Caenorhabditis elegans: one gene and its partners. The protein of the gene in region 4 interacts with the protein of the main gene of each other region in a pairwise test. Each region holds a gene or a part of one and is shown on either strand. Other genes may lie near its edges.

The links.
Region 1: the proteins of dlat-1 (region 4) and Y57G11C.22 interact in a two-hybrid assay, tested with the Caenorhabditis elegans proteins (one large-scale study listed by BioGRID).
Region 2: the proteins of dlat-1 (region 4) and xpo-2 interact in a two-hybrid assay, tested with the Caenorhabditis elegans proteins (one large-scale study listed by BioGRID).
Region 3: the proteins of dlat-1 (region 4) and reps-1 interact in a two-hybrid assay, tested with the Caenorhabditis elegans proteins (one large-scale study listed by BioGRID).

The regions. Positions count from the first base shown.
Region 1 is NC_003282.8:14,834,160-14,840,780, forward strand, and holds the start of Y57G11C.22 (PRKCA-binding protein), read left to right. Parts: upstream 1-3,051; coding exon 3,052-3,057; intron 3,058-3,158; exon of another isoform or gene 3,159-3,180; intron 3,181-3,653; exon of another isoform or gene 3,654-3,674; intron 3,675-3,676; coding exon 3,677-3,770; intron 3,771-3,838; exon of another isoform or gene 3,839-3,860; intron 3,861-6,150; coding exon of another isoform or gene 6,151-6,567; intron 6,568-6,621.
Region 2 is NC_003279.8:317,433-326,199, reverse strand, and holds xpo-2 (Exportin-2), read left to right. Parts: upstream 1-2,847; coding exon 2,848-3,057; intron 3,058-3,106; coding exon 3,107-3,415; intron 3,416-3,811; coding exon 3,812-5,125; intron 5,126-5,782; coding exon 5,783-6,462; intron 6,463-7,071; coding exon 7,072-7,375; 3' UTR 7,376-7,651; downstream 7,652-8,767. Other genes in the region: nol-14 (Nucleolar protein 14), read right to left, coding at 152-901, 1,547-1,911, 1,960-2,221, 2,266-2,340.
Region 3 is NC_003283.11:18,984,530-18,993,044, reverse strand, and holds reps-1 (REPS (RalBP1-associated Eps domain-containing protein) homolog), read left to right. Parts: upstream 1-2,544; 5' UTR 2,545-2,676; coding exon 2,677-2,782; intron 2,783-3,715; coding exon 3,716-4,131; intron 4,132-4,231; coding exon 4,232-4,343; intron 4,344-5,212; coding exon 5,213-5,431; intron 5,432-5,558; coding exon 5,559-5,617; intron 5,618-6,060; coding exon 6,061-6,381; 3' UTR 6,382-7,071; downstream 7,072-8,515. Other genes in the region: Y39B6A.37 (Structural protein), read right to left, coding at 1,640-2,187; mrps-35 (Small ribosomal subunit protein mS35 mitochondrial conserved domain-containing protein), read right to left, coding at 7,430-7,672.
Region 4 is NC_003283.11:14,444,184-14,450,187, reverse strand, and holds dlat-1 (Dihydrolipoyllysine-residue acetyltransferase component of pyruvate dehydrogenase complex, mitochondrial), read left to right. Parts: upstream 1-2,897; 5' UTR 2,898-2,900; coding exon 2,901-3,114; intron 3,115-3,173; coding exon 3,174-3,900; intron 3,901-3,967; coding exon 3,968-4,420; intron 4,421-4,469; coding exon 4,470-4,599; 3' UTR 4,600-4,865; downstream 4,866-6,004. Other genes in the region: F23B12.7 (uncharacterized protein), read right to left, coding at 1-308, 361-474; fntb-1 (Protein farnesyltransferase subunit beta), read right to left, coding at 745-926, 970-1,238, 1,373-1,569, 1,794-2,105, 2,152-2,310, 2,360-2,446; F23B12.4 (ShKT domain-containing protein), read right to left, coding at 4,987-5,111, 5,159-5,309, 5,364-5,400, 5,448-5,523. UniProt on the Caenorhabditis elegans protein: The pyruvate dehydrogenase complex catalyzes the overall conversion of pyruvate to acetyl-CoA and CO(2).

The DNA of each region.
Region 1 (6,621 bases), on a different chromosome or scaffold from region 4:
CAATGTAAATCAATGCGAAGTTTTTGAAGATGGAAAAAAATCAAAGCGAATAAAAATTTTGGCATCTCTATTTGTGAACTTTGTGTAAGGGTTAAAATATTTTGAGAGTTTTCTGGAATTAAAAAGAAAACTCGCAGAACTTTTTTTTTTAATTTAAAAATTTACTCAAAAAATGTACAGTTTCTGTGAAAATTACACATTTTTTTTGTGAAAACAAGTTCAGTTTTCCTTAAAATAATTAAAAACCAAATCCCATAATAATTAAATGTAATAATAATGTTTCAAATATATATATAAAAAATGAAACAGTAAAATTTTTTGAACATTGCCGAAAAAAAACTGAGTTGAAAATTGATTTTCACATATTAGGCAGGCGCGAAAGATGCCTACGTACTTGCCTACCTACCAATTTATTTAATTTATTTCTGAACTGCAGTATTTTGCGTTAGATTTACTCATTTGTAGTGTGGAGTTTGAAAAAAAGAACCTAAAAAAATGAAAAATTTAACTGTCATCAGAACGAAAAAATTGAATTTGTTGGAGTTTGTTAAAACTATCAAGCTGAAGAATTTTTTTGCTAATAAATTTTAAAAAACTATTTTTAATTGAAAATGGAAGTATTTTTATTGTAGTCAATATAATGCTGAGAACAATTTGAAATTTTCTGGTGCCAATATAAAAACTCAATGAGCTTGTAAGAGTTCAAAATTTCCTGAAAAATTTACTAGTATGGTTCCGAATGATTGGTTAGATTTTTTCACAATCTTCGTGCTTCCTGGCCGTTTTTTTAAGAAGTGAGGGAAATTTTGATGACTCAGTTTTGTAACTTTTAGAGGAAATTGTTCATTTTTTTGCTTTGATGCTCAAATCTAAAATAATCCGAAAATTATTAAAAACAAAAAATGAGAACTCAGGAGCTATTAAAAGTTATTTGCACATTTTTTTATGAACTTTGTGAATGTGTAAAAGTTTCGATATTTTTTTTTTGGAATTGAAAAATAATCGGAGAATCACAATTTGCAAACTTTAATATATTTTTTAATAATATGTTTTCCACTATAGACTCTGTGAAACATTAGAGAATTTTTAGTGAAAATAATGATCAGTTTCAATAAGTTCTTAATCTCATTGAGATGAATTTTATTGATCTTTTAGAATACTGTGGAAATGTAGCTTATAATAAGTCTAGTTCAATAAGAATGAAGCCTTATTATAAGCTACATTTTCGTGTAGAAATTTTAAAAATGTTTAATATTCATATTTGAATTTGTTAAAATATGTGTTTCAAATTAAATATCCGTAATTTGGAGGGTTTTCAATGACGTTTTTCGACATTTTTGCCGGTTAACTCCAGCCATTTTGTTTTTTGTGCGAAGTAAGGAAAACTTTCATTTCGATTCAATAGAATTAAATTCCGACAATGTTATTTTTTTGTTTCAGTCAATTTGATTCGGTTTTTGTCAAAGTGTTACAATTTGCAGTTTTTATTTTGTTTTTTTTCAATTAGGCATATGCTTTGTCCAGTATAACTCCTGTGAAACATTTGTGAATTTGTAGAAAAAATAATGTCCCGTTTCAATAAGTTTTCAAAGGTATCTCTTCGAGATGAATTTTATTATTCCGCTAGGAATCAGTGGATATGTAGCCCATAATAATTCTGTCAACTTTAATTCCAATTCAGTTATTGTCAAAATATTAATTGCAGACAATTTTGTTATGCTTTCGGTTTAATACTATTTTGGTTCTTAAATCGAACAACTTTGGTTTTCCAACTTCATATAACAATTTAGAGATTTTTTTTTCTGAAAACTAAGAAAAAGTTACACATTTCCTATTTTCAAGTTATTTTTTCAGTTATTTTCACTAACTAGTTAACTGATCACAAAAAACTTTGTGGAAAATATTCAAAACCTTAGTGACAATAATGTTCTGTTTCACGAAGTCCTTAAAAGTATCTTGTAACGGTGAACTTTAGTTCAAAGTTTCTCTGTTTGCGGCAATATATAAATTTCAAGAAATTTTACTATGTTTCTAGCTCAACACATTTTCAGAGTCTATAAAAAATGAAAACATTTTATTAATTTTTTTCCTGTTTCAGTGAGTTTTTAAAAAAAATTACCTTCTGTAGTTTCTAATCGGTTCCATGCTGCAATTTTAACCTCAACTTTGGAAAACTGGTATTAGTGTAGATTTACAAAGTTCTCGTTTTTTTTAAATTTTGGTTTAAAAAACGGGAGTTTTCCTGGAATTTACAAGGAAAATTGCAGAATCTGAATTCATTGAGATTTTTTTTACACTTACGCCGAAAATGTATAAACTCTGTGAAAAGGTTGCGAATTTTTAGTGAAAATATTGTTCTGTTTCAACAAGTTTTTAAAAGCATCTCGCAAAAAATTAATGTAGTTAATGAGCGTTAAATATGTATATCGTATTCCCTTTATCAATTTGTATTCCTGCGACAAATTTCCGTCAAAGAGAAATTTGTCTAGTTGGTAGTTTGTAGGATATAGTTTGTAACTGAAAATTTTAATTGCAGTTCAGTCTTTTGCCAAATATAAATTTAGTTATGTTTCTGGTTTAATACAATCTCAGAATCTCAGTGAAAAATAGTTCATCAATTTGTTTTTTCTCTGTTTCAGCAAGGAGTTTTAAATCCAGGCATTTCTTCTGTAGTTGATAATTTTTTTGAAGATTTACGAAATTTTCGTTTTCATTAGTGGTCGCTTTTTAGACATGCAGACATTTTGAGGATTCATGCACGGCCTACAATATATTTTCTCAAGCTTCCCAAGGCCTCTCTTGTCGTCTTAAATTCTGCCACTAACCCCATTTTGAATCAAATGCACATTGAGCTCATCTTCCATGCATCTCCTCCCTTCTCCTCTCATTCTCCATTTTCAGTGTGCATGATTGTCTGCGTCTCCCGCTTCTCTACACTCTCTCGTAGTCTCTACATCTCTCCGTCTCTGTGCTCTTTTTGCTCGTGAAGCTTTTAGTACTGCTAGAAGGAGTGAAGGAGTGACAATCGATTTTAAAGCAGAAAAATTAATTATGGATGTAAGTATTTTTTTTCAATTGTTTGTGTAGTTTGAAATTGAGCTAAAAAAACTGGAATGTTTCATGTTTTTATTAAAAAAGAACAATAAAAATCATAACTATTATAGTTACCATCAGAGGTGGGCGGATATTTTTTTCTGATATTTTCTAATAATGAATTTATCAATAAGTATTGATGTAGTTATTCTGGAAGAAATGTATCCGAACAAAAGAGTAACTATTAAGAAACATTTTAATATGATAAAACCTAGAAAAATTCTACAAGTTTTCTGTATAAACGATATGCAAGTCCATTATCCGATATCCGTAATATCCGTAATATCCGATATCCGATGTTGCTCGGCTAATAAGTTTTAAGGTCTCGGTAAGGAAAACTTGTAGAATTTTTCTAGGTTTTATCATATTAAAATGTTGCTTAATAGTTACTCTTTGGTTTGGATACATTTCTTCCAGAATAACTACATCAATACTTATTGATAAATTCATTATTAGAAAATATCCGAAAAAATATCCGCCCACCTCTGGTTACCATAATCGTGAAAAAACTTACTGTTTCACTTTCTAACAAATAATTTGTAGGTTTTCAAATTAATTATTGTTTTTTAACCATATTTTACAGTTCCAAATCGAAGAAGACCGGCTCGGAATGAGAATTCAATCGGAGACAATTGAGTTGACTAAAGATGAAAAAGGTGTCGTCGGAATTTCAATTGGTTTGTTCATTTTTTTCTCTGATGCTTGTATATAAATGGAAACCAACTCAAAATAATTTTTTAATAATAACTCGATAATGTTTAAGTGAATAGTTTGGTTTTTGAAACACTTCATTTAAAAACTACTAGAAACAGAAAAAAATGAAAAAAAAATGTTTTTCAAACAATTTGAAATATTACGCTAGTAGTGGTAGAGTGTACAATTTACCATTCCTTGGTTTTTTTTTACCGTCTGACCAAGAATAGTGTGTGAAACGAGAGATTTAGAGAAAGACGAGAGAGTGAGAGATTTGGTTATAGTAAGAAAGAATCGATTTTTAAATAGTGTGCGTTTTTGAGAGATTTAGAGAAAGAGACTGGTAAGACATTTTTGATGTTCTTGGTTCATTCAACCAGGGGACGGGTTCGAACCCAGGACACTATTCGTCTAAAACAGATGCCATACCAATACACTATAGACGTAGTCGCAAACCCAGTAGCATTTGACTCTTTTCTATTTCGAAACATCTGCCGTTTAGGAGACGTCTTTTTCCCAAACGCGATTTGAATGAATGCAAGCGTTACCGAGATTGATGAAGGAAGGAGGCCCCCCTCCCCGCGCCCCTGGGGGTTTCAAGAGTAAAAGTTGATGAACAAGTTTTTTCAATTTACCTGTGCTTTTGAAAAATGATGCATTCAAAGCTATTTGAAGTTTTTCGATAAAGGGTTCTCCACCCGTTATCGAAAACTTTAAAGAGCATTCCCTACAAAAAACATGTTTTACATTTTTTATTATTTATTCAATTACAGATAAGGATAAGTATTAGTGTTACATGCATTACTAACAATTCAAACATTATTATACAATCAATCAAATTTTATAATTTCCAATATTCTTTCGGCATTTCTTACAAACGTCAATTTTCAAAGTTGACCCATCATATTGTGCACCGTCCTGACAATCTGAACAAAACAGGATAGCGGCAAGTGGTTCCATTTTTCGTAAAGCAAACTGGGGTTCCGTTGTCTTGGCAGCCGTGTGTGTCGTTTTAAAAGTTTTCACATTTTTCTTTCCCTTCTTCTCCGACATAGGAATATCAGAAACATTTGATGGCAAAAACTCTGGTTCCTGAGACGAGTTTTGAAGAGTTTCAAAATTCCAAAAGACGTTCGCAGGTGAAGGATCAGGATAAGAAAAGTTTGAGAATGAGGACATTATCAAAAAAAGTCACTACGTACAACAAAAAATTGAGCACAAATGAAGATTGAATTCAGAAAAGTGGGCGGCTCTTGAAATTGGCATGGACAAATCATAAAGTTAATACTCCTGATGCATCAATCCAAGAGTCAAATTCGGCACCATATCCGTCCCAACGAACGAGGTGCTGTTTCTTTCCGCGTACTGTACGAGTGGCTAAAATCTTTTCAATTCGATACTGAGCGTCTGGTTTATATGTGCATTTAGTCAGTTCTCGAGTGTAGAATATTCCGGCAATTTTTTCTCCATTAGTGTCTACTATATTGTAGGTAACTGGTTTCCTTGCAAACACTTTGGAAATTACATAAACTTCTGTAGTCCATCCTTGTTCGTAGCCCTTGTCAAATTGTCCTCGTTTTGCAGCGATTCTGACGTGATCTCCTACTCTGAATTTGATTTTAACGCTGTCTACAGGCATCGGAGTTGAAAAATCTCCCCGCTCAACGTCTACTGGTTTTTTACCAATTCCACGATTAACGCTATTGTTGATACCATTCACAACTTGTTGTAAAACGTCCACATAACGTCGGTTGTACTTTTGAGTCATGTACTTTGCCAATCGAGTTTTCAGAGTCCTGTTTGCCCTCTCCACAATTGCACACTTTATTTCGCTTTTGGGTGAAAATAGATTCACAAAATTCTTGGCCAACAACTCTTTGACATGCGAGTTGTAAAATTCCTTTCCATCATCACTGTAAATTGTCATTGGTGTGACACCAATTTCTTTAAAAATGTCTTGTAGAGCTAGAGCCACTTCTTGTCCTTTTTTAGACTTTAACGTTTTTACAAAAAGCCGTCGAGAGTAAATATCTATACAGACTAGTAGAAAGGTTACTCCGTCGTTTTCCTTCTTGTACCGGGACATATCTGCGAGATCAATTTGAAGAGATGCATAAAGACCAGGTGAGACTGTTTTCCGACGCGGGAATCGCGATTGATTCGGGCGGTGAAGCGTAAAAGATTCCAAATCTTCGAGAACCTTTTCGACTTGTTCATACTTTAACGACTTGTATTTTGGCTTCAAATATTTGTAAACGTTTTTTACAGATGAATAGGCGCAAGGTAGTTTTTCGTCTGTATATGCTTCTTTTATGGCAGACTTCATAATAAAAATTTTAAAAATACAACATTTATATACAGATTTTAAAATTTCCATAATCTACAATAAACTCGTGAACCTGGAGGTGGAGCTGAACCAGATCCGTGAAGAACGCGCCTTTTGGCAGCAGGGATATTTGTACCATTATCTGGGATGGTTGAAGAAATGTTGCGTTTCAAGTTTTGCATCTTATAAATTTTGTTTGGCCTCACTCTACTCATATTCTTTCTTCTTTTCAAATCAAATTTCTGCCTCTTGTTTAAGTTTTTTGTGGAATCCTGTTGAAATGGTCTTTTTTTAATGGAAATCTCAGTGTTTTGTGGCGTCTCATCAACCATCGGCTCTTCATCTTCATCTTCCTCATCCAGCTGCAATTTATAAAGTTTTCGCGGTTTCACGTTATTCATGCTCTTTCCTCTCTTGAGATCAAACTTTTGCCTCTTGTTTGAAGTGGCGTATTGCTGAAACGATCGTTTTTTAATTGAAACTGGTGTAATTTCCACAGTTTTTTCCTC
Region 2 (8,767 bases), on a different chromosome or scaffold from region 4:
CATTTTTTGGTAAAAAATCGGGACTTTTTTGCAATTTTTGGGGTATAAAAATCGGGAATTTTTCAAAATTTTAGGTCAAAAATTCTCGAATTTTTTCAATTTTCAGATTAAAAAGTGCGGTAATTTTTCAGCTTTTCCATCCAATCGCTACCTTCATCAACGCATGCATAGTTTCCTGCGCTAAATTCATTTCCTTCACACTTTCCGCTGTCAATTCCTCCTTCGACATATCATCAAACCATCTTAAACACAAGAGGAAAAGCTTATTCAGACGCTTCTTATTTCCTTCTTTAAGGCTCGGATGATGACATTTCACGAGTCGTTCCAGCACTAAATCCATCGATTCCGAGTGTTTTTCCAGAAGAGCACAGAATTTTTTATAGTTTTTCGGCATTTCGAATACGAATGGCAGAGTTTCAGCGGGTTCTGGAGCAGATTTTTTCGCTTTTTTGACGACTTTTTGGGCTTCCTGAGCTTCCTCATCATCGGAATCTTCTTCCAGCTCATCCTCATCTTCCAGTAGATCATCCAGATCCTCTTCCTCATCTTCTAGATCCTCGTCATCGTCAGATTCATCAGAACCATCCAGATTTTTCTTTAAAATCCTGGATTTTTCCACCGTATCCTCATCGATCAGGCCACCTTCATCGTCAAATTTGACCTCAAATCTCGAATTTTTCGCCTGAACTTTTCTGGCGTCGGCCTTCGATCCAGCATCGATATCAACGTCGGCATCGGCTGATAAATGAGATTTTGCGTTGAAAAATGCATTATTTTTCGAGATACGGGCGGCCTCGAGAGTTTCCAGACGTTCTTTTTCTTTCAGAGCTTCTTCTTCTTCGGATAGCTTACGATCTGCTGGGGTGGCACGAGCGTCGGCTTCGGTTTTCAAGGTGATTGTCTGGAAAAATAATAATTTTTGGATAAAAAATGGAATAAAACCTATTTTTCTTGATTTTTTAGGCGAAGAAACAAAAAAAAAGCCTTTTTCTATCATTTTTTAAACAAAAAAATTGGCTTTTTCTTAATTTTTTTGTCGAAAAATAGTTATTTTAAATTGTTTTATTTTGTAAAAAAACGACTTTTTTAAAGTTATTTTTCGGCGAAAAATTTATTTTTTTAAATTAAAAATTGCCTTTTTCGTCATTTTTGTCAAAAGAAAAACCGACTTTTCTCGAATTTTTGTCAAAAAAATTGACTTTTTAATGATTTTTCGTCAAAAAAATTCTCAGTTCAGCTCAATTTCTTTCGCGATAAGAAGTTAAATGTTTTATTTTTCACTTCAAATTGCACAAATTCCGAAATAATTTTACAGTGTTTTCTCTGATTACAAAGCTAAAACTTGGATTTCTTCAACTTTTACAGCAAAATTAATGAAAATTTCCAATTTCCATAGCAAAAATGGTTAAAAATTAGCATTTTCAGATCAAGTTTTTTGGGTTTTAGGTTTTCCACTAAAAAATTGTGAAAAAAATCGATTTTCACTCTAAATTTATAATTATCTTTTATCTTAAAAATTTGGAGAAAACCGGGATGTTTCCCGTACCAATTTGTCGTAATCATCTTTTTCCAGCGGCTGGCGCCCGGTCGGCCTAAATGAAGCCTTCATTTTGCCCATCAAAGCCTGATACTTGGAATCCAACGACTCTGTCATCAGCTCGAGCTCATCCTTCTGCTGTTGCTTCTCGTGACGCGCCAGCTTCGTTTTCGCAATCAAATTCGAAATCATATCCTCTCGGCTGATTTTTTCGCGGACGTGCTCCTCGGCGGTCTTCTCTCCACCACCGAAATGAGCCACTTTTACCATATTTGAGCCCAAATTTCCCGGCTCTTCATCGTCATCCGAGTCGGAAATCATCGATTTGTCGTATTTTTCAATGTCCGAGAGCGCTTTTCCCTTGTGAGTAAGTACTGAAATTTACTTTATTAAAATTTTTCTCAATTTATTTCGGAATAAACCTTCTTCCTCCTCATCTCCATCATCTGTCAAGTTGAATTTCGATGCTCTTTTATAATTTTTGACTCTTTCCTCTGTGAATCTCATCGCGCCCTTCTCCTCCTCGCTTTTTCCGTCCTTTTCGCCGAGCCGTTTGTCGACAATTTTGCTAATCTTATTTTTCCGGTCATATTCTACGCCTAGCGTCTGTTCACGTTGCTCGTGAGCTCGTTTTCGTGACGCAGTCGGTGCTCCAACTTGTGCGCCCTTTTTCCGGCCGAGAATCTGCGAGAAAATCGATTTTTTCTTCAAAACTCTGAAAAACTCACGTCATGCTTGGATTTGTTGAATTTTAGCTCGAATGGATTGGTTTTTCGTTGCTTTTGCTTTTTATCAACACCCATGTTTGCTGAAAATGCGAAAAATTAGGGGGGAAACAGAGAAAAAACCAGGGGTATCCAGGAAAATTTAAGAATAAAAATTGGGAAGTTTGCGCGTCAAGTCGTGCGCATTGTACGCAACGACGCCTTTATTTTGCAAAGTTTTGAAAATTGAAATGTTTTAATTTATTTTTTTATGCACGTTTTGCTGAAAAAGTGGAAAATTTGAAGAAAATCAAGGGAAAACTAGGAAAAATCAGTAAAAATCAGTGAAAACAGAGAACATAATGAAAAAAATTTGCGCGTCGGGTCGGGTGCGCTGTACGCAAACACTTCACACTTTTGAAATTTTTTTTTTATTTTTGCGAATTTTTGCGAGTTTATTCCCCGCGGGCCTGCGAAAAATTGCGTAAAACTTTAATATTTTGACCGGAAATTTTAGATTTCAAGTTTTAAGCTAAACTATCTTTGTCCTTTCACCTAATTCTTCCCTATTTCACCCCCAAAACAGCTATTTTTCCCTATTTTCAGATGGAGCAAATCGGAGCAGCTCTCCAGCAGACTCTGGAGCCGGATGCTGCGATTCGCAAGCGTGGAGAAGAAGCGCTCCGCTCGCTGCAATCAAATCCAGGCTATATCATTCAAATTCTTCAACTGGTGGTCAACGAACAGCAACAAATTGCTCCGCAGATCCGAATCGCCGCGGCTGTCGCTTTGAAAAATTTTGTGAAGAGAAATTGGGTTGGAAAATTTGAATAAATGCGTGAATTTTATATTTAAATTGTTTCAGGGCCCGGCACCAGAGGTAGAAATGGGCCAGGAAGACGAGGAGCAGTTCAGAAGCATGCTTCTCGAAGCGATGTTCAATACAAAATCAAATGTTCAGGAAATCCTGTCCAATGCTCTGTATCTCATCGCTCAGAGAGATTTTCCCGAAAAATGGCCAGATTTGGTTCCATATTTGTCGAAATTCCTGAACGGAGCGGATCTCAATCACCTGGTGGCCTCGCTGGCGTCGATGGAGCAGATTTTCCGCAAATTCCGATTCGAATCCAAGTCAGCAGAGCTTTGGAAAGAGCTGAAGAAGTGTCTACTGAGCGTGAGTTGCGTTTTGGCTCAAAATTTGGCTAATTTCAGCTAAAATCCCCAATTTTGGCCACTTTTTTACGTCGCAGCCGTCGGAAGTTGAATTTTTGTCCGCTTTGACCCTAAAAAATGACCAAAATTAGACATTTAAGCTAGCTAAAGCTGGCCTTGTTTTCCGAAAAATCGTGAAAAATTCAACATTTTATGATTTTTTAGTCAAAAATTTTAACTAAAGCAAAAATGAGGAATTTTTGGCGAAAATTGATAATTTTCCTATAAAAATGGACAAATTTTCAAAATTTTTGAGCCAAAAAATTGAAGAAATCTGAATGTCAGTCTCGAATTTGGACCGAAAAACTGTTTTCTCCCCAGATTTTTCAGTTACAAATAAAAAGAACCGATTTTTCAGACCCAAGAGCCTCTAACTCTGTTGCTACGGAACATGATGGAGGTGGGACAGCGGAAGGATCAACTCGGAGCCGACGAGATCGCCCAATGGCTCCGAGTCTTACTTCTCATTGCAAAAGTCTACCATTCTCTGTGCTCACAGGAGATTCCGGAATACTTCGAGGATCATCTCAAGGACTGGATGCCACACTTCTTGCATCTCGTGCAAATCGACGCGCCGACGCAGACCTCCAACTCGGGAGAACCTACAACTCTGGACGAGCTTAAGCACGAGATCTGTGAGATCTTCACGCTCTACTCGCAACGCTACGAGGAGGAGATCTCCGAGTTCGTGCCCGACATCATCCTTGCCGTCTGGAATCTGCTCAAGTCTACCGGCCCCGACACTCGATACGATACGATGGTGTGCGCCGCGCTGGAATTTCTGTCGATGGTCAGCCAGCGACAGTACTACGAGGGACACTTCACTGGTGAAGGCGTTCTGAAGACTCTCGCCGAGAACGTGTGCGTTCAGAACCTTCTGCTTCGTCAACAGGATATGGAACTGTTCGAGGATGAGCCACTGGATTATATGAAGCGAGACATCGAGGGTACCGATGTAGGAACTCGACGCCGTGGAGCCATCGATCTTGCGCGAGGTCTCTGCCGAAGATTCGAGGCGCAAATGCTTCCATGTCTGGGGGAGATCGTGCAGAACCTGCTGGGAAGTGGTGATTGGATCAAGATCGACATTGTCTACTCGCTGATCACGGCGATCGCGGTGAAGACGGAGACTGCTAAGAGTGGAGTAACGGCGACGAACCCGCTGGTGGACATCAACGACTTCTTCATCACACAAGTGGCCACACATCTCAACGCCGATGTCAATCAAACTCCGATCCTTAAAGCTGATGCACTGAAGTTTGCGGTCACTTTCAGGAAACAGCTGGCTCCAGAGCACCTTATGACTGCGATCAAGTCGGCGGACGCTCTTCTCAGCTCGAATACTCCGATTCTGCACAAGTACGCAGCTTACGCTATTGAAAAGATCCTTCTCGCTGATTCCAACAAAATCTTCTCGGCTCAAAATCTTCCAGTCTCCTCGATCCTTCAGAACCTTGTCACCGCGTTCGACAAGGATGCCAAAGCGCAAAACTCGCCGTATCTGATCAAGGCGATTTTGAGGATCATTGTGATTCTCGATGACGACACGATTCGGCATGCGGACGCGATTGCGGTCAAGCTCGCACAGTTGGTCGAGTCGGCGACGAAAAATCCGGCGGATTCGGTGCACACGCACTTTTTGTTTGAGACGATTTGTGTGTTGATCACCAAGGTAAGGAGTAGTTTGAGAGAAAAATACCACTCTAAACTCCGCCCATTTTTCCGTGCCGCACTTTGGTCTCAAATTTTTTTTCATAAATTGGAACATAACTTGTCAAATTTTCTGAAATTTTTCTGCAAAAAAAAATTCGCTGAAACTCGGAAATTGGAATAGACATCGATAATTTAACTTTCGATCTGAAAATTTTCGGAAAAATTGGCAATTTTGCTGGAAAACGCAAAAATTTACAAAAAACCAACACTTTTCCGTTTTCGTGTTTTCAAAAAATATACCTTTTTTTAATTTTTCGGAAAATCGAAAAAATTCAATTTTTCTGATAAGAAACCTAAAAACTGAAAAATTTTAGTTTTTAATTATTTTTGTCGAAACAAACCCCGAAAAATTGAACGATTTTCACTGAAAAAAAAATCAAAACTTTTTGTTTTTCAATTTTTCGATGTTTTTTTCCGAAAAAATCGAAAAGAATCTTCTTTTTTTAAAGAAGAAATCGATAATTTTTTTCTGAAAAAAAAAAATTAAAAATTGCAAAATCGAAACATTTGTCTGCTTTTTCGTGTTTTCCTTTTTGTGATTTTTTTTCTTATTCAAAAAAAAAGTGATAGCAATTTTAAGAACATTTTATATTTTTTAACGAATTTCCTGTTCCAGACCCGAACAATCGGCGCCTCACTGGATGCTCAACTCCTTCCACTGATCGAAGTGATCTTCCGCGAGGATTTGGAAGATCTCATCCCATATGCTCTCCAAATCACGGGAGTTCTCGTCTCCTCATGTATCGCTAGAAACTCATCGATCGATCAATTCTCACCGTTCCTTCCGTTTCTGCTATCCGAACGTCTTTGGGCGAGATCAGCGAATGTTCCAGCGGCACTTTCGGTTCTCGAAGTGATCCTTTCCGTGAATGCTCAGCGAGTCGTCTCGGAGAATTCTGGGTTGATCTTGAGCCATTTGGCGCGGCTTTTGGGCTCGAAAACCTTGGATCAATACGGTTTCCAGTTGGCGGCGACGATTCTTCCGTCGATTGAGCACTTCGAGGGTTCCGCGATGACATTTGTGCTCAATACAATGTTTCGAAGAGTTCAATCGTCGAAGACACCCAAGTTTATGAAGCTATTCATCGTGTTCTTGTGTCGATTTACGATCGCCCGGAGTGCACAGGATCTTGTTCAATCGTGTGAGAATATTCAGACTGGCATGTTCGGAATGCTCATCGAGAAGGTCGTATGCATTGATTTGCCAGGTCTGAAACAAACGACAACGGGGCCTGAGAAACGGATTATTGCCATTGGAATGGGCAATTTGCTAGCCGATGTCACGCAGCAGCTTGTGTTAGTAATGAAAATTTAGGCTTTTTTCCAGAAAAAATATCGAAAAACGAAAATTTTCGATTTTTTATATTTTTTTCAAAGGAAATTGAAAATCACATATTTTCGATTCAGTTTTTTTTTCTCCGATTTTTTTTTTAAACTTTAATACGGGTTTAAAAAAAATAGAAAGTTACAATTTTTAAATATTTCAGAAAAAAAAACGAAAATTTTCTATTTTTTAAAGATTTTTTTGGAAAAAATTGAAAAATTGCAAATTTTCGGTTTTTTTCCAGAGAAAAGTTAAAAATCACATATCAAAAAAAAATTTGAAAAACACAAATTTAAAAAAATAAAATTGAAATTTTGTCGATTTCTTCGTTTTTTTTCCTGACAAAATCTGGAATTTTCAGTTTTTTGAAAAATCGACAATTACCGACTTTTCCCTATTTTTTCAAAAAAACAAAATCGAAAACTGCCGATTTTTCAACAAAAAAATTAAATCAAAAATGAAGATTTTAATTTTTTTTTCGGTTTTTTCTCAAAAAAAAAACAATTAACGACAATTAACAAAAACAAAATTACAAATAAAATCATTTTAAATTCAATTTCTCATATAAATTTTTTTTGCAGTGGTCAATACGGAATTCTGTCATACGAGGTGGCAATGCTGCTGGAAGCTGCTTCAGCCTCCGATCGAGCCGTCCTATCACCAGAAGAAGAGCAAGCTTCAATGTACAACGCCGAGGGAGAATTTGTGAACCCATTCTGTCGTCTGAGTTACGCTCCCAAGCAACCGCCCGTCGCCGCCAACATCGCCAACCACAAGGCCTACTTTGCGCAGGCCGTTCTTGTCCGTGGACCCGGAAATTGTCCAGAGACACTTCGTTCTGTACCGCCCGAGATTGTCACCTATTTGCAGTCTATTCAGCAATAATTTCCCCGATATTTATATTTTTTCAATTGTTTATTATCTTTTTTTTTCTCTGCTGCTGCCCGATTACTCGCTCTTTCTCTCTAAAAAAAATCCCCCGTTGTTAACTTTTTTGTCTTAAATTTCAAATTTCTCACTTTCCATCTCTGATTAGTTTACGGTTGTCGAAGCCCCGCTTCTTCTTCTTCTTATCTCACATCTGCCCCAGTTTTTTCCTCTTCAAATTGCCTTATTTAATTGTTTTTCACGACATTTTTGCTGTCAAATACACAGAAATTCACCTCGATTTTGAGTGTAAGATGTGGTGCCTGAAGGAGTGACGCGCAAAATATCTCGTAGCGAAAACTACAGTAATTCTTTAAATGAATACTGTAGCGATTGTATGTCGATTTACGGAAATAATTTATAATTTAGTAATCGATGACGCACACAAAAAACAAAAAAAATAATTTTAAAAATCGAACCCGTAAATCGACACCAGCGCTACAGTAGTCATTTAAAGGGTTACTGTAGTTTTCGCTACGAGATATTTCGCGTTCTCAGAATTCAAATAGTGTTTCCGTAATATCATGGCTCCTTTCCACGGGGAGGCAAAGCTAACGTGGCCGCGAGAGTGCGCCGGCTAGCCACCGCCTCCTATGGTTAAGAATTTTGATCGAATAAACATTTTTAATTTGACTTATATGCTTATTTTTCTTCGTTTTTTCTTATTTTTTCTTGTTTTTTCTTGTTACTACGTGGAATAAGCATAATGTTTTCAGCTAATCTACGCAAACCGCTTCGAAATTCGATGGATTAAACCGGACAAAGGCAAAAAACGTCGAAAAGTAAGTTATTATTCAAAATATCTCGAAAAATTATGGTACAATATTTCTGAAAATCTACTCAAATATGGAAAAATATATGCTGATTCCGAATTAAAAAGTCTTGAACCTCAATCTCGCGTATTTCATATTTATTTTCTCGATTTTAGTGAAAAATTCGAGAAATTCAGTGCAATTTCGAATTAAAAATTACATTTTTCCAAAAATTATGGTACAATATTTCTGAAAACCTACTCAAATATGGAGAAATATATGCTGATTCTGAATAAAAAAGTCTCGAAACTCAATCTCACGTATTTCATTTTTTTTTTTCGATTTTAATAAAAAATTTAGGAATTCAGTGCAATTTTCGATTTTTTTTCAAAATATTTTCTCTTAATGTTTTTATAATTTCCAGATATTACGTTGTCGCTGCATTGGAAGATTTCAAGACAAAATTCGAAATAGATGCGAACAAGAAGAAGCTGTTCGAAGTATTAATAAGGAAGGTTAAGCAGCAATAAGTGCTCTTACAAGGGCTCAAGTGCCGCAGAAGAAGCCAAAGAAGGTAGGACTGCAAGGTCGACTGCTC
Region 3 (8,515 bases), 4.5 Mb from region 4:
TAACCGAAAAATGCAGAATTTCCGCATAATTTTGAGCTAAAATTTGGAAATTTCGGTCTAAAATCTTATTTATCAAGCATTTTAGTGTAAATTTCATTCTTTTTTTTCGCACTTCTTAAGCTGAAAACCCCGGATTTTTGTCGGAAAACGGAATTTTTGGAGCAAAATGTCCCGATTGCTAGTGTTTTTTCTGAAATTTATCGATTTTTCGTATATTTTTGAGCTCAAATTTCAATGAGAAAATGTCTTTTTAAGATCTTTTTATGGGATTTCATAGATTTCAGTGCGAAAATTGCAATTTTTGAGGAGAAAATTGGAGATTTTCAGTTTTCGGCGATACTTTTCAGAAAAAAAAACTGATTTTTCCCTTGAGCAGCGCCCAAAAGTTGTAGTTTGTAGTTTAGCAGCGCCCAAAATTGAATTAGCAGCGCCCAAAACTTGTAGTTTGTAGTGTTAGCAGCGCCCAAAACTTGTAGTTTGTAGTTTAGCAGCGCCCAAAACTTGTAGTTTGTAGTCTAAGCAGCGCCCAAAATTGAATTAGCAGCGCCCAAAACTTGTAGTTTGTAGTCTAAGCAGCGCCCAAAATTGAATTAGCAGCGCCCAAAACTTGTAGTTTGTAGTCTAAGCAGCGCCCAAAATTGAATTAGCAGCGCCCAAAAGTTGTAGTTTGTAGTGTTAGCAGCGCCCAAAACTTGTAGTTTGTAGTCTAAGCAGCGCCCAAAATTGAATTAGCAGCGCCCAAAACTTGTAGTTTGTAGTCTAAGCAGCGCCCAAAAGTTGTAGTTTGTAGTTTAGCAGCGCCCAAAATTTGTAGTTTGTAGTGTTAGCAGCGCCCAAAACTTGTAATTTGTAGTCTAAGCAGCGCCCAAAACTTGTAGTTTGTAGTCTAAGCAGCGCCCAAAATTGAATTAGCAGCGCCCAAAAGTTGTAGTTTGTAGTTTAGCAGCGCCCAAAATTGAATTAGCAGCGCCCAAAAGTTGTAGTTTGTAGTGTTAGCAGCGCCCAAAACTTGTAGTTTGTAGTTTAGCAGCGCGTAAAATTGAATTAGCAGCGCCCAAAAGTTGTAGTTTGTAGTTTAGCAGCGCCCAAAATTGAATTAGCAGCGCCCAAAAGTTGTAGTTTGTAGTGTTAGCAGCGCCCAAAACTTGTAGTTTGTAGTTTAGCAGCGCGTAAAATTGAATTAGCAGCGCCCAAAAGTTGTAGTTTGTAGTTTAGCAGCGCCCAAAACTTGTAGTTTGTAGTCTAAGCAGCGCCCAAAATTGAATTAGCAGCGCCCAAAACTTGTAGTTTGTAGTCTAAGCAGCGCCCAAAATTTGTAGTTTGTAGTGTTAGCAGCGCCCAAAACTTGTAGTTTGTAGTCTAAGCAGCGCCCAAAACTTGTAGTTTGTATTCTAAGCAGCGCCCAAAATTGAATTAGCAGCGCCCAAAACTTGTAGTTTGTAGTTTAGCAGCGCCCAAAATCACATTTTCGCTCAAAATTAACCAAAATTGCCGGTTTTTTCGCATTTTTCGACGGAATTTTCTGTTTAATTCGTTAAAATTTGGGAATTTTTATGATTTTTCAGCGGAAATCGCTTGAGCAGCGCCCAAAACTTGTAGTTTGTAGTTTCCACGTGGGGCTCAATTCCTCGAAACTTACACAAATTCGCCAGTTTTGAAGCTTTTCGTGTCATTTTTATCGTGAAATTCGACATTTGTGGGTTTCAGCGCCTTATCAACATAAAATTCACTGTCCAATCCATACAAAAGCTGTCCTTTATCACTAATATCATCACTTTCTCGCCGTTCCAGCAGCTCTTGCGGTGCTTCATCATCATCATCATCAGTCGGTGGATCCGAATCGAATCCGCTGCTTTCCCCGCCGCCGGCTTCTCGATTTTCAGCCGGCGGTAGATCACCGGATTCACTGCTCGCCGAGCTGTCTGGAGCCCCCCCGGCGGCCGAAATTCCGACGCCATTGTACTCGACGCCATATCCAACGTACCAGCCGTCTTCTAAATTCGAATTATCAATCGAAAAAGTGTCGATTTGAAGGATTTCGCAGGGTTTTGTGGATTTTTGAGCATTTTCGTGCTGTTCCATCGTTAATCCTTGCTTCCCGAGCGCATTTTTCAGCGTTTTCAGCTCTCTTTTTGTGAGATTTCGGGCTTTTTCAGGAATCTGCGGGATTTCGGACGATTGGGGCATCAGAACCTGGAAAAAATAATTGTTATGCTGTTAAAATCGAATTTTGGGGCAAAAAAAACCTTAAAAATACGATTTTCCGGCTGAATTTCATTATTTTTCGCAAAAATTTCAGATTTAGCTCGAAAATCGGTTGAATCTTGCCGATATTTGATAGTTTTCACCCGTAAAAACCCCGAAATCCATGAAAAACCACTTTAAAACTGAAAAACAAATTATACAACTAGGAAATGGATATTTTTCAGCGTTTTAGGTGTATGAATAGGAGATTTTAACGCTTTTTTAATTAATTTTTGCTTTAAAAAACTGATTTTTACCCAAAAAATCTGTGAAAATTGAGTTTTTCAGCTGAAACATCGTTTCAAAACGAAAAAATAAATTTGCCGGCACGAGAATCGCGCCAGTCAACCCCCTTTGCGCATCTCCAGTGCGCTGGCGCATTTCTCGTGCACCAACTATTTTATTTGCTTTTCCGCGAAAAAATCAATTTCCATGACAGAAAACGACAAAAAATCGCAATATTTTTCGAATGGAGACTTTGAAAAAGTCGCTGCCGATATTATTAGTAGTCCGAGACGTCTGAAGCACACGAGTCCAGGTGATTATTTTGAAAAATAAAGAATTTCAGCTCGAAATCGGCAAATTTGATGCAAAAACGTGGAAATTAAGCTGAAAAACGGTGAAAAATCCAGAAAAATTAGGAAAAAGTGCAAAATTATCCTCAAAAATGAGTAGTTTTAATGAAAATATAACCTTTTTCGATTTTTCTCAAATTTTTTCGCATTTTTGAAGAGATTTCCGCTATAAAACAGATGAAACTAATTTAAAAAAACCACTTTTGAAGGTTTTTGAGTGAATTTTTTGGGCGCTGCTTAGACTACAAACTACACAATTTTAGGCGCTGCTAATTCAATTTTGGGCGCTGCTAAACTACAAACTACAAGATATTGGTCGCTGCTAAACTACAAACTACACAATTTTGGGCGCTGCTAAACTACAAACTACAAGATTTTGGGCGCTGCTAAACTACAAACTACACAATTTTGGGCGCTGCTAAAGCTACAAACTACACAATTTTGGGCGCTGCTAAACTACAAACTACAAGATATTGGTCGCTGCTAAACTACAAACTACACAATTTTGGGCGCTGCTAAACTACAAACTACACAATTTTGGGCGCTGCTAAACTACAAACTACACAATTTTGGGCGCTGCTAAACTACAAACTACACAATTTTGGGCGCTGCTAAACTACAAACTACAAGTTTGGGCGCTGCTAATTCAATTTTGGGCGCTGCTAAACTACAAACTACAAGATTTTGGGCGCTGCTAAAGCTACAAACTACACAATTTTGGGCGCTGCTAAAGCTACAAACTACACAATTTTGGACGCTGCTTTTCCGTTTAGCGGCGCCAAAATCGATTTTTTCTATTTTTAAGCACATTTTCTCAGGGAAAATTGCAAAAATCGAAATTATTTCGGTTTTAAAGCTAAAAAACTCGAAAAAATCCAAATTTCCCCAATTTTCAGCCGATTCCAACGCGGATTCTCTCTTCAAAATCACTGAAAAACAGCAGGAATACTACACAAAATGCTTCCGTCACTTAATAAAAACCACTCAAGGCGCCGCAGACCTCTGCGGAGCCCTTTGCGGAGCCGATCAACGAATTGTAGCGTTTTTCAAGAGAAGCTCGCTGGATATGAGCTCTTTATCGAAAATCTGGTCGCTGGCCGATGTGAATGAAGACGGATGGTTGGATTTAAACGAATTCTCGATTGCGATGCATTTAGTAGTGTTGAAAGTGAAAGGAGAAGTTCCGATTCCTGATGTGCTACCCGGTTTCGCGCGGCCACCACTTACAGAGCCACGGGCTCCGTCTACAGTTGCGGCGACGCCTAGTCCCGCCGGTGCAGGACATGTAGAAGCTGATGGGCCAGTGAAAAATGTGGGGGTTTTTGAAATAATTTAATTGACTTTTGAATATGTATCATCATTCAAAACATTAACGACGTTTTTTTTTTAATTTCGAATTTTTCCAATTCCAGTGGGCAAACCAGCCAATCATCAAACAATTCTCGGATACACCGCCATTATTAGTGGACAGTAGGCCAACAGCTATCAAGCATTCTGCATTGTTAGCACTTAAGAGTCCACTGGGTAAGTTTGGATTCATTGAAGAAATTGTTGTAGTGTTTATTATACTTCTCAAATGTGTGAACACAATATAAAAAGTTTAAATTATTGACTAATAATAATTTATTCGAAAAATTGCTAGTTGAATAGCAGTCATACTACAAAAACTACAATAGTTTTCGATTCAAATGTTTTAGAAAACCTAGTTTTCTAATCAGTAACATAGTTATTTATATACTGACTAAGTAACTAATTATTTAATTAATAACTATTTAAGTACGTTTTTAATTCGTGACTTAGTTAGTAATTAAAATACTTACTGAGTTGCTAATTATATAACTTGGTAAGTAGTTAATTAGAAACTTAGTTATGAAATTACTAACTCAATACGAATTTAATTACTAACTTAGTGAGTATTTAATTAGTAACATAGTTATTTAATTTATAACTCAGGAAGTATTTAATTAGTGACTTAGTTAGTAATTAAATAACTAAGTAAGTATTTAATTACTAACCCTGTTAGTGTTAATTAGTAACAAAGTGAGTATTTAATCAGTAACGTAGTTATTTAATTTGTAACTAAGGAAGTATTAAATTGCTACTAAGTGAGTATTTAATTACTAACTAAGTGGGTATTTAATTAGTAACAGAGTGAGTTTTTAACTACTAATTTTCTTATTTAATCATCATCTAAATAAGTACTTAATTAGTAACTTAGTAATTAAATTACTAACTACGTAAGTATGTAGTTAGTAACTTAGTTATTTAATTACCTAAATAAGTATTAATAAGTATTAAGTATTAAGTAAGTTCATTAAAACACGCAACACTCAATATTTAGTAGTATTTGCAATCTAAGAGCAGCGCCCGAAATCAATAATCCATATTTTCAGGACCCCCACCAATTCCACCTGTCCGCCCACAACAACAACAACGTGGACACAACAGAAGTGCAAGTCTTGACTTGAAATTGATTGCATTGAATAAGACAAAAGCCTCGGCGGAATCCCAGCTACCACCAACTACCCTATCACTTTGGTCATCACATTCCGATCCGACAGCTCAATCGATTAGTACTACAACGACTACGACTACTTTTGCGTCTTTTCCTGGTATGAGACTGAAAAATTGGGCAGAAATTCGAAAAAAATTTTAAAAAAACTGGAATTTTTCAAAAAATATATTGCTTTCAATTTTCGAGAAAAAATCAAAATATTCCCAATTTCCGCAAATTTTCAGCCACCCCGGACAGTATTCCACCGCCGATTCCACAAAGAATCACACCGTCACCTCTACCGGTAAGTTAAGGGAAAGCTTTTAGTTGTAGTTTGTAGTCTTAGCAGCGCCCAAAGTTTGAAATTATTCGTTTTAACGAATTTTTAAGAAAAACTTTTCAAAATTGCGATAAAATCGAAAATTAGTGTAGTTTTTATTTTCTGAACAGGTTGAAAATCACAAAAATATGATTTTTAAACAATTTTTGGCTATTTTTTTGTGCGCTGCTATTTTTTTGGGCGCTGCTAATTTTTGGGCGCTGCTATTTTTTTGGGCGCTGCTAATTTCTTGGGCGCTGCTAATTTCTTGGGCGCTGCTAATTTCTTGGGCGGGCTGCTAAAAATTTACTTGTAGTTTGTAGTTTTAGCAGCGCCAAAATTCAAAAATACTCATTTTTAACCATTTTTCTTCAAATTTTTCAAATTTTTCACTGAAAAATCTCCAAAAATTCACAATATTTTTGCAGAGAGTCATCGAAGAGGAAAAACGAATTACCACAACAGATTCATCAACACAAACTACAGAATTACTCTATTCTGAGGAAGATGTGAAGAGCTTTTTCTCGAAAATCGGCCATCAAATCGACGATTTAATTGGAGAAGAGATTCAGGCAACTGATGGGCAAGGAATTGAACGATGGAAGGAACGTTGTACAGCTTTGAGGACTCAAAATTCGGAATTAGAAGCCGAAAGAGCACGGTTGGCTCAAGTACGGATTCAATTGGAAATACGAATTCAGGAATTTGAAGAGAGATCCAAAACTGCGTGCTCTTCTTCTACACTTTAATGATATCCCCGGTGGAGGAAAAATGGATGGGAAATTCGAATTTTTGAGGAAAAATAGGAAAAAAATAATTTTTTTCGGCTTGAAAAACTAGGAAATAACACATTTTATTTCGAATTTTCCGGAAAAAATTTTTTTTTTGGAAAAAACTCAATTTTTAGCTGGAAAAATAGAATTTTTAAAGATTTATTACGTTTGGTTAGGAAAATAACAAAAAAATTCGAAATGTATCAATTTCTATGGAAAATTATTTTTTCTGAAAATTTATTGATTTTTCTGAAAATTTATTGATTTTTCTGAAAATTTATCGATTTTTCTGAAAATTTATTGATTTTTCTGAAAATTTATCGATTTTTCTGAAAATTTATCGATTTCTATGGAAAATTTATTGATTTTTCTGGTTTTTCGCATTAAAAAACATGAAATTTGCCCATTTTAGAGCAAATTTTCAAAAATTTCTGAGAAAAAGGTATTTCCCGAAATTAAATTTAACTTCTAAAAAAGTTTTTAATTATTTTCTATCAAAAATTCGAATTTCCCACCAATTTCTCCCCCAGATTCCCCGCAAAAAACTAAAAAATCTGCATATTTCTTCATAATTTCTGTGATATGTCATATATATATTTCATTTTTACCTATGTTGTAATTTTTTAAAATAAGCATCAATTTTTCTATTTTCTGTGATAATTTAATCTATTACACTATCTTCTTTTTTTTTTTTGAAAAAAAAAATCATAAAGTATGTATTGATTTTTACACACATTAAAAATAACTATTTTTTAAAATTGGAAAATATATATATATAAATTTTTCCAAAAAAAAATGAAATAACATGAAAGATGGGAACTATCTAAAAAATTCGGACAAAAAAATTATTACAGATCCGGCTAAAAATTTGGAAAAAATTCCAAATTTTGACAGAATTTGAGGGATCTATTATAAAAACTGCTAGAATAACAAAAAAAAAACAAAAAATTTTCGAGAAAAAAAATTATTACACATTCGTGACGAATGTATAATAATCTTAGCAGAACTAAAAAAAAACAGTAAATTATTGTTGAATTCCGAGTAATTTCTTCATCTGACGACCGTATTCCCGCGTTTTTTCGACAGTTTCCTCGCTATTTCTATAGGCTTTCCACATTTCTCCGAATTCGTCAATCGATTTTTGATCTCCACATCCGGCGGCGCTGGGGCTTAATCCAGGCGTCAACTTGGCTTTTTCCAGTAAATCGATGAGTTTGGTTTTGGTGTTGGAGCCATCGAATTCAACTTTCAGAGCGTCGGTGCGGTTCTGGAAAAAAACATTGGAAATTTGGCTGAAAAATCGATAAATTTCCGGAAAAATCAATAAATTTCCAGAAAAATCAATAAATTTTTACAAAAAGCACTGAATTTTCAATAAAAATCAATAAATTTCCAGAAAAATCGATAAATTTTTACAAAAATCACTGAATTTTCAATAAAAATCAATAAATTTCCAGAAAAATCAATAAATTTCCAGAAAAATCGATAAATTTTTAGAAAAATCAATAAATTTCCAGAAAAATCAATAAATTTTTACAAAAAGCACTGAATTTTCAATAAAAATCAATAAATTTCCAGAAAAATCGATAAATTTTTAGAAAAATCAATAAATTTCCAGAAAAATCAATAAATAAATTCTTACAAAAATCACTGAATTTTCAATAAAAATCAATAAATTTCCAGTAAAATCGATAAATTTTTACAAAAAGCACTGAATTTTCAGAAAAATCGATAAATTTCCAGAAAAATCGATAAATTTTTAGAAAAATCGATACGTTTTCAGAAAAATCGATAAATTTCCAGAAAAATCGATAAATTCCTAGAAAAATCGATAATTTCTAGAAAAATCAATAAATTTTTAGAAAAATCGATAAATTTTCAGAAAAATCGATAAATTTTTAGAAAAATCACTGAATTTTCAATAAAAATCAATAAATTTACAGAAAAATCGATAAATTTTTAGAAAAATCACTGAATTTTCAATAAAAATCAATAAATTTCCAGAAAAATCGATAAATTTTTAGAAAAATCGATAAATTTCCGGAAAAATCAATAAATTTCCGGAAAAATCAATAAATTTTCAGAAAAATTGATAAATTTTTAGAAAAAT
Region 4 (6,004 bases):
AGCAGAGCTGCATCTTGAGCCATCTCATCCTTTCCCTCTTCAAGAAGCTTTTGAATCTCCGATGCATTCATTTTTTCGGTCTTTTCATCATGAACATGATCGATTTGATAGCTATACCATTTGGTTCCTTCTTGATGTTTAACTAGAATACCATCTTGTCCAAGAATTTTCTTGAATTGACGTTTCTGATTAGAGTTTTCCGGGTTCGCAGGTTTATGGGCCACCGGCTTGGCTGCTCCATTTTGTGCTTGCTTCTTCTTGTTCGTGTGCACGGCACCGCTCTCAAATTGAGCCATAATCTTTTCCGCCTGTAAAGAATAATTTTATTAATTAAAAATTCAAAAACAAAAAATCACTCACGCTAGCCAAATTATCTTCTTTCAGCTTCATCTTCTGTGCTTTTCCCAGCTTCTCCGTTGGCTGCTTCGGCTTTGGTTTCGCCGCCAGCTTCATTGGACGTTTTTTCAGCTTCATTACTGACAATGAATAATCTTAAATTGTTTAAAAATACAGTTTAATAAATATAGCACATTGACATAAAATAAATACTTAGAGAAAGTTAACTTGTTATGAAATTTTTGAAGCAGAAAACAAAATTTTGTTACAACTTTATACAAAAATATTTAAAAAATCGGGTGGAAAACATAATTTAGGCAAATATGAATTAAGAAACTCGTATATGGGACGTCTTTAAGAAGCGAGATTAACGAATGAAATCATATTGAAAGGATACATATCGAACGATCAATGAGAAGTGAAGAACTCCTTGGCAAATTGTTCAGAAGCAATGGTCACGTTGAAAACTGGATTAATTTCAGCAAGCATGTTAACATCACCACCAAGTATTTTCCCATCGCGAGCGAGAGAGTACTTCTGAGCAACTGATAATCCTGAGAGAACGTAGCATGTATGGTACAGGTCGACGGCTGAAAATTGAAGTCATTTTTAGTTATAAAAACTGGATCTTACGCTTGTCCGGCTTATCCTTGAATCCTCCATGTACTGATTGGCATCCAACAAGAATGTACTCTTCAAGCATTCGCGCCTCGAAAAGACCTTTCTCCAATGATCGGCCTTCTCGTTCCATTTCTCCGTCCAAAAGTGGGAAGATGGCACCTTGCCAGAAGCTGTAGCATCCATCAACAAGTTTATTTGTTCTTCCCTGGAAACCACCCTCAAATCGCATCTGCCGGCGCGTGGCCCAACGAAGGAGACCTTCCATATCAGCAAGACGGAATCTGGAAATCATCAGGATCAATGATCTTATTTCAAATTCTGAACTAACTTAATTGATATGATTTTATAAGAAAGAACATGTGGTGTTCACGTGATGGTCTGTCTCTTCTCATTTTCAAAGATAACAATAACTGACCTGTTTAACAGAACCAACGAGGCGACCGCGCAGAAAGTGTATCCTCCGTGTGCCTCTGTATACGGTTCTCCTCCGAAACCACCTTCAAAGCTCTGGCAGCTGATAATCCATTCGGCCACACCATTTGATATCTCATCCATAGGTAGGCCCACAATCTCGCATGTTGCTAGTGCACAGTAGGCGCTTCTCATATCGATCTGGAAATGTTCAATTTTCGATAGCTCAGAATTTTTATGATATCTCTGGCAAAAAAAACAACACTAGAGGCAATTCGTAGAGTGTGCAGCAAGGATCCTAAAGTTCTATGCAAGAGTACGTAGAAGTTTCACTCTGAGTAGGACTTCATCAAGTCTATGCAGGAGTTTCAGTACATTTAGAGCTTTTGAACCATTGCCAGAGATATTCATTAATAAATTATTACCTCTCCTCCCTCGTGCATATAAAATCCTCCGCTCTCATGCTTGCACTTCTTCAAAAAATTGAACAGTGTGACTCTGTTGATAGATCGTAGAGCTTCTTCTTTTTGTAGAGACACTAGGCACATGACAGCGGCATACGTTGGAGCCAAATGAGCCAATTGTCCTGGTCCTCCACCATAGCCACCTTCTGGATGTTCACAAGATTTAAGAAAAACAATAATGTTTTCGATAACATCGTTTGGAATTTCTGCGTCCAAAATTTTAAGTGCATTAACTCCCCAGTAGCACATCCATGAACGACTAGCGTCTAAGGTCTAAAAATTGTAATGTTAAAAACCACTTCTCACAAATCAAACTTACTGCGTAGCTCGACGGGCAGTTTTTGAGATATCTGAGCAAATACGAGGCATGTTTCTGACGGAAAATCGTCAATTCGGCGAGATCTTCGTCGCTTGTGGTCTTGAATGGTTCTAACACCAGTGAATTGTAGTTTTCGAAAAGCATTGTTTCAATACGTTTCTGAAATACTCATAATCGTACATGATAATTACATGGCGGGGTTACAAACCTGTTCAGTGCTTGAGTAGGTGAAATTATCATCGTCGTTACACTCATATTTCTCGTTGAACGAACGGAATGGGATCGAAGATGTCATCTCTGTTATAAAATACAATTTTTACAAAAAGAACACATTAGAAAACACACTTCTCTTGGGAAAACCTATCAAAAACATTTTTTTTCGTCGCGAAAATAAAAAAAAATCGGTGTGATAAACAAGGCGCGCGTGTTTAAAACGGAGTGTCGTTGTCCCCGTCTAATTTTTTCTTTTCTCATTTTTCTGAACACTCTTTTCTGATCAGGAATTCTGACGTTTTATCAGTCTGTGATAAAGTTTTTAATCAGTTATTGCAACAAAAACTCTACGAAAATCAGGCGAGTATGCAGAAAGATGATAAAGTTTTCTTGTAAATTAGCTTTTCATTCCATTTAAAATTTAATAACTTTACAATTTTATATTCTTTATTGTTGTTTGCAAATGTGTATTAAATATCTTATTTCTACGTTTTCTTACAAGTATAATTTTGTTTAAACTGAAAAATATTCAGGTAATGTCGAAGTTCCCGGTGCCGTTGAGAACGATTGGTGGGCTTCGTCCCTCGACAACAGCAGCTATTTCTGCCGCCAACATCGGTTTCACACAATCGAGTCGGGCCCTCAGCACCGGAGCTGCCGCCAAAAGCTCAGGACTTGTTGGACAAGTAGCTCGCCAATATCCAAATGCTGCAGCTTTCAGTATTAAACAAGTTCGCCTTTATAGCAGTGGTGAGACTTTTTTCCTATTTATATTTTCCAACTGGTTGTCCACTAATTCCTTTTTTCAGGAAATCTGCCAAAGCACAATCGGGTAGCTCTCCCAGCACTTTCTCCAACTATGGAACTCGGAACTGTTGTAAGCTGGCAGAAAAAAGAAGGAGATCAACTTAGTGAAGGAGATTTGCTCTGCGAGATTGAAACCGATAAGGCCACTATGGGATTCGAAACTCCGGAAGAAGGATATCTTGCCAAGATTCTCATCCAGGAAGGATCGAAGGATGTTCCAATTGGCAAGCTTCTCTGTATTATCGTCGACAACGAGGCTGACGTTGCTGCCTTCAAGGATTTCAAGGACGATGGTGCTTCATCTGGTGGATCCGCTCCAGCAGCCGAGAAAGCTCCAGAGCCAGCAAAACCAGCCGCTTCATCGCAACCATCTCCCCCAGCACAAATGTATCAAGCACCATCAGTTCCAAAGTCCGCACCAATTCCACACTCATCATCGGGAAGAGTTTCTGCTTCACCGTTCGCTAAGAAACTTGCTGCTGAAAATGGCCTTGACTTGAGCGGAGTTTCTGGAAGTGGACCAGGAGGACGTATTCTCGCTTCGGATCTTTCCCAGGCTCCAGCAAAGGGCGCTACTTCAACCACAACTCAAGCCGTATCTGGTCAAGATTATACCGATATTCCACTTTCGAACATGCGTAAGACAATTGCTAAGAGACTCACCGAAAGCAAATCAACGATTCCACATTATTATTTGACCAGCGAAATTCAATTGGATACACTTCTTCAGTGAGTTTTCTTAAATTATTAAAACAATAAACCCGAGTCTTCCTTTCCAAAAATTACCCTTATTCAGGGTTCGTGAAAAGCTCAACGGTCTTCTTGCAAAGGGAACATCGGGACAAGCCACTAAGATCTCAATCAATGACTTTATCATCAAAGCTTCTGCTCTTGCATGTCAACGAGTTCCAGAAGCCAACAGCTATTGGATGGACTCGTTCATTCGTGAGAATCATCACGTCGATGTTTCTGTAGCTGTCAGCACCCCAGCCGGTCTTATTACTCCAATTATCTTCAATGCTCACGCTAAGGGACTCGCCACGATTGCCTCAGAAATTGTAGAATTGGCGCAAAGAGCACGCGAAGGAAAATTGCAGCCTCATGAGTTCCAAGGAGGTACTTTCACCGTCTCGAACCTCGGAATGTTCGGATCTGTATCTGATTTCACCGCGATCATCAACCCACCACAATCATGCATTTTGGCTATCGGAGGAGCATCTGATAAGCTGGTCCCAGACGAGGCTGAAGGGTAAGAGTTTTTAGGAAATTTATCGAGTTATATAGTTTTTGTATTTCAGATATAAGAAGATTAAGACTATGAAGGTAACATTGTCATGCGATCACAGGACTGTTGATGGAGCTGTTGGAGCCGTCTGGCTTCGTCACTTCAAGGAGTTCCTCGAGAAGCCACACACGATGCTTCTCTAAACGATGGCTTTTTCATTGTTTCCCAATTCATCTCACCATCTTCCTCTACCCATTTTGACCCCCGAATTTACTCCGTAAAGTCTCGAAGTGATAGCGTATAACTAGGTCATAATTTTATTATTTCTTTCTTTCTTCACTACAGCCATTTTCGCTTTTATTTTTCTCATTTTTCATGGCATGTTTCCCAGTTAATCGTTTAATTTCTCCGGTAGTATGTGTAAGTGAATTATTAGAAGAAGTTTCCTTTAAAAAATGATTTATTATTTTTGTCTGTCATACAGAAATTTCAGAAACTCGTAGTGTGTTTGGAAAAGCCTAGCGGATCTTTAGTAATAGTGAGCAAAATGTTGAGAGACCCTAGGAAACAATATGCTTCAAGAAACGAATTCAATGACGACGACACAGTCCGCATGTTCTTGCGCAGAACGCCGTTAAGTATTGCTGATGGGATGGTGAAGCACAGAACTGACGCCACTGACTGCATCTTCCTTGAGGATCACGATCAGCGCATTCTGAAGATTCAAAAAGATTCGACAATATCCTAGATCTAGAAACATACGTCCGCCACCGAAAGCCGGCTGTGGCTGCTGGAATACATTTTGCCGCTGAGCAGCAAAACTGTTACTCTGTCCACGTCTTCTTGAAATGAACACATTTTGACGATTAAATGGAGATTGTGGCTGTTGAGCAACAATTCGCTGTCGTGGACGCTGTAAAATTGCAATTATAATATAGATCAGAGAGTAAAAGAAAATATAAAATACCGCAGGAATTGGTCGGAATGTTTGTTGGAACGTTGGTCTGGAAAAAATCAATATTACCGACATTACAATATGTGAAAAACGAACTGTTGTGTGAATGTAGCTTGTGTTGTCGGTGCAGCAGTCACTTGAGCATCTCCAGAAGATCCACGTTGGAAGCCATCTGAACAAGGCAACTAGGACTAGAACACAGGAAAATGAACGCGCTACCACGGAAACCGAAAAACTCAGACATCACTCAACATGCTAAATCAATCAAAAACTGAGCTTTCAAAATATGTTCCAAGAATTCAAAAAACACATTCATTCAACTCAATAATAATATCGTAGCTTCGAAATTTTCTGAAACGCGTTCTCAAAGGGACACAGATTTGTTCCGATGGGTCTTACCACGAATACAAATACAACAGAAATTGAAAAAAAAAATACTGAGATAAATACTGAAACATTATACCTTGCCGTAAAGATAATGCACCAGCGGGTCTCGAAACTATCAAACCTTCGCAGCTACAGTAACCCAAGAATTTAGTTTTTTTTTGTTGCAAAATTTGGCGAGTTTTTCATGATTTTTCAAGAAATTTATAGTTTTAACATTTATAAAATTAATTGAAAATTTAAATACAGAAGGGAGAAAATAGTAAAAC